2 linked regions of the Drosophila melanogaster genome follow. The protein of the gene in region 1 interacts with the protein of each later gene in a pairwise test. Each region holds a gene or a part of one and is shown in the gene's direction. Other genes may lie near its edges. The genes, in order: CG8159 and CG17855.

Region 1 (3,928 bases):
CAGCAACAAAGAGACAACTTGGGAACAAATTTAGCTTTTTTTAGCACGTAGTTTTTAAAAAACACTTTACAGTGGCCATGTTATTGCAAATTTTAGTTTTTGCTATTTTTTTTTGCGTAATTTACATCTGCATTGCAATTGCTTCCTTGAATATAACAAAAGTGCCTATATAGTCTTATCTTATACATACATACTTTATTGGGCTAGTTTTAAAATAAAATATATTCAGACATGAGGTACAAAAATGAACATTGAATTTAGAATCAAATCTTTTTCGAAATACATTTTACGAAACATTTTACGTGGATTATTTCGATTTACCGAAACAGAAATATGAAGCTATATGTTTTGTTTTCAAAAATTGATCCTGCGCATTATTAGCATGCAGGTCGTACTTATTTCAAGCACCCATGAAATGGTTCAGCTTAACGATTTGACCAATATTATTTACACCTATTATTAAGTTTTAATATTATAAGCAGTATCTGTTTTATCAGACTGCTCCAGTTGTTAACAGATCAATAGCTATTTAAATAAAGATTTTGACTTTCAAAAATCCCCGCCTTGAATGAATAATTTATCTGGTTTGCCTCAAAATGTAATCACCATACAATTGCCTTTCCATCAGTCGAGTTTAGTGATCGAGATGCTGAACATCGTGTGTAGAGTCTGCGGAAGGCAGAAAATCTGTGAGAAGAGCCTGAATCTCTTCGATTTGGTCAACCGAAAATATCTAAAGCACTTGCACATGATAAGCGGACTAAGAGTGAGTTAAAAGACGTTTTAAAATTGAGATAAATAATATCAGCACCAGTTGGTGGATTTGGACGATGTTCCTGGTTTCATGTGCCTTTGCTGTCAGGCGGAACTCAGATCGGCATTGGCATTCCGGAAGCTTTGCATTAAGACCCAAACTAAATGGCTAACCATCGAGGACGACTCTTCGTCGGGTGATGAAGATACCAATGACAATTCGGAACTGGAATCGGAAAAATGCGCATTCAGCGATTTTGGGAAAAAGAAAGAAGGCGAGTTGGTTGAAGAAACTTTTCAGGTACTGATTGAAGAGGAGCCCATGGACAAAACTCTGAATAGAGATGCGAAAGCGCAGCTGAGGGAAGATGGAATAGATGAGAAGTGTGTACCTTCACAAAAGATTATCAAAGTATCAACCAAACTGGATGATCAGATTTACATATGCGAGCTGTGCGGGACTCATGCCACATCGAAACCCACTTTCCAGCGCCACATGAGAAAACACAGAGGCGAACGACCATTTGGCTGCAAGTAAACCTCGCTCACAGATTACAACTGTAGGTTCGGTATGCTGATTCCATATTCTCTTTTTAGGGATTGTGATGCCAGGTTTCTCTCTGCTGGCGAACTACGTGCCCACCACCGGGTACATACTGGGGAGCAACCGTTTGCCTGTCGCTTCTGCGAAAAGCGGTATGTCAGCTACATGGGCCGGCTGATCCACGAGCGGACTCACACCAACGATCGACCCTATGTGTGCGAAGAGTGTGGCAAGAAGTTCACCACTGCCTACGTCCTAAAGAACCACATGGTCATCCACACGGGCGAGAGGAATTTCCGATGCGATATTTGCGATCGCTCCTTCCAGAGAAAGGCGCACCTGGTAACGCACACCAGATCCATGATGCACCTCCAAAATGTCAAGAAGCAGAAGTCATGAAGGATTAAATAGCTCAAGCTATGAAATAATAAGATTTACATGCTCCTTGAGATAAAAAGATACCCAAAAGGGGACTATCTTATTTTTATCTTATCGTATTTTTATGAATTTAAGTTGTATACTCAATATTTGCACCACACCTGTTTCTCAAAATGAAATAAATGCTAATGCTTTTAAGTGTGTAGGACACAGAAAACAAAAAATTTGTATAGATTGTTTGATTTTAATTAGTAGCAGCCGTTACGATTTAGTGGTTTTATAAGTCGCCAGTGCTGGACAACGTCTCAGGTGGAAAAGCTAGTGCGCTGCTTCGTGGCAAATGGCAAATCAGTTTTGGGTGGCTGTCTTGTTTACAATTGGAAATTTACTAATTAGAATCGAGTAAGCTGGTAAAATGCTGCAAAATGTGTGCCGCGTGTGTGCCAGCAGCACGGACAACTCGAAATCGTTGAAACTATTTAACAGCGGCGCCTGCAAAGTGCTGCAACAAATCAATTTGCTCACCGGTGTTCTGGTAAGCCTACCCTACGAAACACATTAATTCCTTCAATTAAAATGTTGTATCTTATTTGGCAGCTGCAATGCGAACCCGGTTTACCCGACTGGATGTGCGAGACCTGCCAGACGGATTTGAAAAGCGCCATATCCTTTCGTGATCGCTGCTTGAGGAGTCAGAAGATCTTTGAAGAGTCGCTGGTCAGGAATGAAGAGGACACATTCCGCTCCTCAGTTCGTCGCAGTGCCCGTTCCCAAAGACAGCGGCATGAAGACACCGCTCCAAAGACGCCAGCAAGTCCGCTGGAGGTAATGATTAAGCTGGAGAGCCTGAGCAATGGCGATGAGGAGGATGATGGCATCGATCACCTGGACTCCTGCAACGAAGCAGACATGGAGCTGGCCATTAAAGCGATGTCCAGCTCTACCGAAGATGATGGAACTACCTCACCGGTCAGATTGAAAAGAACCCGACGTCGGGGACTTAAGAAAGGCGGGAAAGGTGAAAATCGCACAAAGGTTACGCTTCCAGTTTTCTTTTGCGATCAGTGCGGCAACAATATTACAGGGAAGTCCTCCTTCGACCGTCACCTACGCAAACACAGCGGAATTAGGCCCTTTCAGTGCGAGTAAGAAAAGCTTTAGCTCGTCAATTGTACAATCTGATAGTTAACTGTGTAACATTGCTCTCATGTAGACTCTGCCCCGCCCGCTTCCTGTCCTCCGGTGAGCTGAAAGGACACCAAGTGATGCACACTGGAGATCGCAAGTTCCAGTGTCGTTACTGTGACCGCACCTACGTCAACTACAGTGGTCGCCTGCGTCACGAGCGGACCCACACAAATGATCGACCCTTTATTTGTGCGCAGTGCGGCAAGAGCTTTACCAATTCCTACATCCTCAAGAACCACATGCTTATCCACACGGGCGAGCGCCTGTTCAGGCTAGTAAACTATGATAAATAGTGCTTAAGTTAATGATCACCTAGCCGATCCTTTGCAGATGTGAGCTGTGCCATCGATCCTTTGCGCGACCCACCCACTTGAAGACTCACTTCCGCTCTAACACTCATAAGCACAACTTGGAGAAATCGATGGCAGACGCGGGTGGAGTTCAGCTGTCACCATCCCAGTCAGCGGATCAGGTCAAATTCGTGACGGAAAAGGAGCCAGAAGCAGAGGCGGATGCCTTTACGATAGAAGTGCCTTTGCCCGCGGAGCAGGAGCAGGATGAGTCTTTGGGCCTGGCTGCTCTGGAAACATCCACTCTAATGTATAGTACAAACTAGACCTTAATGAGTCCATCTCAACCTTTAAAGCCAAATATAGTTCACAATTTGATTATCCGTTTTGATTTTTTTTGTAAAAATTCCTATTTTGGTAATGCAACCGTTTTCAACTAAGAGCTTCTTAAGTGATACCTTTTAGGGTTTATCAAAGATTGTGTCTGCTTTCTGCATGTTTCGTCTGTGAGCATTTGAACGATAATGGGTAGTAAGGTGTGTGTAGCGACTGAATAACTTATCGCAGAGGTCGCACCTGCAAATAGAATAGATTATTATTATTACACTTAAGTACTATTTCGAGTACCCGCTTACCTAAAAGCCTTCTCCCCGGTATGCACGAGCATGTGGTTCTTAAGAATATAGGATGTTGTGAAGGCATTGTTACACTCCTTGCAGACAAAAGGTCGTTCGTTAGTGTGAGTCCGCTCGTGCTTCAACCGAGTGCTGTAGTC
Region 2 (3,928 bases), on another chromosome or scaffold:
AATCCCAAAAAGAATGTGAATGTTTTAAAGAATGTGGTTTCGGATGTGGGCAAGCTAAAGAATTCAAATGAAATAGAAGCTGGTGGAGCTGGATCACGTGGACATTCCCGCAACAACTCGAAGGACTTGAACACCAAAATTTCTAGTGCAACTCCTGCTTCGGGTCAGGTAGTAACGGATGCCAGTACCACGGGCCTAAGTGTGCTGAGACATCGGCGAACCAATTCCAAGGATTTAAATTATCAAGTGCTGCCGGAGTCTGCTGCCTCCAGTTCGGTGTCAGGGCACGCTCATCCTCAGCACACGCGAAACACGTCGCACCACAAGATCCAGATCGATGACGATCGTAACGAGCTCATCAACGATAACGATGATGAAGAGGAGGAGCGTTCCGCGTGTGCTTAGTGCTAGGCCATGTAGCTATAAGCTAGGATTTTCGATTTGTGGCAACATCAGCAATGTCTCCATTCCCGGCGGCAATCGCCTCATCGTACTTTGAGTGTATGTGGTTCATGCCCGTTTCCTGATGAAGTGACTCGTCCCTCAGCTGCTCATTGTACTTACGACCGAGTGTTCAAATCTACTAATAGAAGGCATCTGAAAATAGAAATCTTTTGATATATACAACATTCAACCAGAATTCGAATCCGAGTCAGATACGATTACGAATCCTTGCAGATAATATTTATGTAACCAGGCGATAGAATAGAAATCCTAGAAAGCAACTAGCATATTTTAAGGTAGGAGTAGATCGTTGTGATAGGAATATTTTGTATTGTATTTTAGTGGAGTGTAGATTAGATCCGTAAAAAGTCGATTAAGTGTTTGAAGTCTGCTGCATACGTTTCGCTTTATTTCGACTTTATGCAATCTCGGTTTCGAAGTTTAACGATTGACTGAGAATCAGTTGGCGAAAGAAAAGAGAAACGAATAGCGAATTACAATGTTTTAATAATCCGAACATTTAACCATTGTCAATGGAAATTGTGCTGTGAAACAATTTGTGAGTATAGAAAACAAAAATTAACGAAAACGTTGAATTAGAAAGAAAGTGAAAATACGCTGAATGTAATTCTTATGCAAATACATCATTTAGAGAATCTTTGTGGACAAAATAGCGATGGGTTCGAATGAAGAATAGGTCTGGAATAGTTTTATGAAAAATCCTAAATTCCCTGTTTTAATGGTAGCGAGAAAATCAAGTGTCTAGCCTAGATTTTAAAACCGAATGATGTACTTTAAATGCGATAATGCCTTAAAAATATCAATTAAATATACACGCGGATAATATCAGTATCTCAACTGAAATGGGAATTCAATCGATCCATCCGGTTGTTTTCCTACGCACTGCCCGAGTGCAAGACCCCCAGTAGTCCTAAGTGATGCAATCTAGGTTAATTAGTAGCAACTATTTCTATGTTTACACCAACCAGCCACATACAGTAGGAAAGGAGGCAGAGAGGAGCTCCTCGAGCACTAAATAGATACATCCATATAAGAAATATATGTATACAATTGTACGTTAATAAGTACCTACGCGTAGCTAATAATTCGTATCGGGATATGTGTTTGTACAACATAACTTATACATTATTGAAGAGCGATTTTAAAACGGACTACAGAAAGTGAGTCTTAGGTGCAAAAGATCATATATATATATATCATATATATGTTTACTCAAAAAGTGTGTTTTAAGGAATACATATTTTTACTTAGAGAAATATTGCAAATAAACTAATAAGGACATGTATGAAATGAAAACAATGAGACTCCTAAAATGAAAAACAAAATAAACCAAAACTGCATTAAACAAGTCAATTTGTTTTTTCTTAAAAGACATTATTTTTAACGAATTTTTTAGTTATTTGAAATTTTGGCACAGTGGCGCCCCTACAAGATGGTACTCGAATTAGGGAACTACATAAATGGTGTGACCATGATGTTTGCAAGTATCTTATATCCAAGACACAAACCTAACGTACTTTAAATATAGATAACATTTTTATTAAAAATTTTTTTATAAATTTGGTTCACCATATAATATTTAAATTAACATTGTTATTTAAGCAACAAGACGAGCAAGAAATAATTAATTTTTAACGAGCCTATCTTTTGATTAGCATTTCTGATGATTAATACAAAAAACTTTTTCCATCAATTTGGGTTCCACATAGGTAAAAAAAATAATAGTGTTAATTAAATTGTTAAGACTTAAAATTTGATCGATTCTATATGTTCGTAAGCAATCGAATAACTTAACAAAGTAACTCTGCCAGCGATATCCACGCAATTCAACTCGCTGATAGCTTATCTTTACTGTTTTCAGCAACAAAAGATTTTTCAGTAGCTGAGTAATTTTTACCACTACGAATTGAAGTAATACAAATCGAACAAATGGAGAAACGTGCTACATCTACCATGCAGGTTCTCTATGCAGAACTGGCTGCCGGTGCGTATGAGCAATGTCGTTGCGTATACGCCATGTATTGAAACTCCTTTGCAGCAAAGTCCAGAAGTGCGGAGCTGGAGGAGGAAAACATTTTGCTGCGCCATCGACTAAATCGCGCATCTGCCAGCCACAGCACCAATGCGGCCATAAATGTGGAGGCCAAGATCATGGTCTTCCAATTGGAGGAGGAACGAGATCGTCTGGTGGAAACACTGCAGAAGCACAAGAAGAAGTACAACAAACTGCATGACGCTTATCTGGAGAAAGTGAAACGTTGTCGTGCTTTGGAGGAGATGTTTAAACGGCAGAAGACGCTTACAGGCTTGGTAATGAAGTCCTCTTTAGATCAAAGAAATGCAGGTGTGTTAGGAAATGGAATTTTTGCTTAAAATTAGATCAATACTCTAAAAATCTACTAGAGCAACGAATGGCTATGGAGAAAAGGCAGTCGGCCCAAAGCGATGTCAACGAATTGAACGAGCTGAAGGCCAAAGTAGAAAAACTTCAAAGAGCCCTTGATGAGTCATACGACATTATTGACGAAATGGATTTTGAACTTGAGAGCGTAAGACGCTTTAGAACGTATTAGCAAGCTTAAGTAAAAATGATTCGTTTAAAGGTGGAATTACTGGAAATGCAAAACCAATCCTTGCGGGACGAATTAGCCGCTTTTAAGGCAAAATCAGAAGAAGGAGCGACCAGTCTGCCGGCCTCGCTACCCAACGATGACGACCCACCGCCCAAATATGAGGAAGACTATCCCGGACAGCATCATAAAGCTATGCAGGCCCGGCGCTGCTCCTCTAGCAGTGAATCTGACCCCAAGGATGATGATGCCGACGCAGAAACTATGGAAAGAGCTGCTTTAACCCATAGCGTAAGCTTTAATCCTAATTCTCATTAATTATATATGTCTGATTGTTCCTTGTATTCAGCTCATACAAACTGTGGAAACAGAGAGCAATGCCCTAAGACGGGAATTGTTGAGATCCCGCTGTCAAAGAACAATTCGCGCCAAGTTGGAGAAAGAAAGCGAGCCTGTTGATTAGGATAAGTGGCGGGATTAATCTTATCACATAGCTCCCAGCCAAAAACTAAACAACCAACCAATAGATCATAATAACAAGTAGCCATACTAAAGCTGATGAAACTGATCACTAAGTTTACGCACAGAGAGCAATAACTAGACGGCTGGACTAACCCAGATTCCGAACCAACTACGCCTAACCAGTGCACATACCAGAATTTGCTTTTAAGGTTCGACAAACACGCTCGGCGGCTGCGTTAAATCAAAACTTTTGCGATATAGTAACCCGGTTTCTTGGACTGCGCGCAGAGAAACCCCTCGTCTAATGGCGATTAATTAAATTATTTGCTAATGCCATCAAACGAGTTGCGGACAGATCACCTGCCAAAAGGATCTGGCCTCCGAGCTGTGAAGGTTCCAGCCCCCGACTTCTGCCCTCCCATCCCATTTCC

Evidence for each region.
Region 2: the proteins of CG8159 (region 1) and CG17855 interact in a two-hybrid assay, tested with the Drosophila melanogaster proteins (2 studies listed by BioGRID).

The regions. Positions count from the first base shown.
Region 1 is NT_033777.3:8,724,838-8,728,765, forward strand, and holds CG8159 (uncharacterized protein), read left to right. Parts: upstream 1-2,016; 5' UTR 2,017-2,090; coding exon 2,091-2,210; intron 2,211-2,272; coding exon 2,273-2,820; intron 2,821-2,888; coding exon 2,889-3,134; intron 3,135-3,193; coding exon 3,194-3,479; 3' UTR 3,480-3,533; downstream 3,534-3,928. Other genes in the region: ouib (ouija board), read left to right, coding at 647-766, 815-1,287, 1,351-1,696; ranshi, read right to left, coding at 3,615-3,729, 3,789-3,928.
Region 2 is NT_033779.5:9,538,250-9,542,177, forward strand, and holds the start of CG17855 (uncharacterized protein), read left to right. Parts: upstream 1-2,273; 5' UTR 2,274-2,394; coding exon 2,395-2,449; intron 2,450-2,503; coding exon 2,504-2,809; intron 2,810-2,868; coding exon 2,869-3,014; intron 3,015-3,068; coding exon 3,069-3,326; intron 3,327-3,384; coding exon 3,385-3,498; 3' UTR 3,499-3,928. Other genes in the region: Oatp30B (organic anion transporting polypeptide 30B), read left to right, coding at 1-405.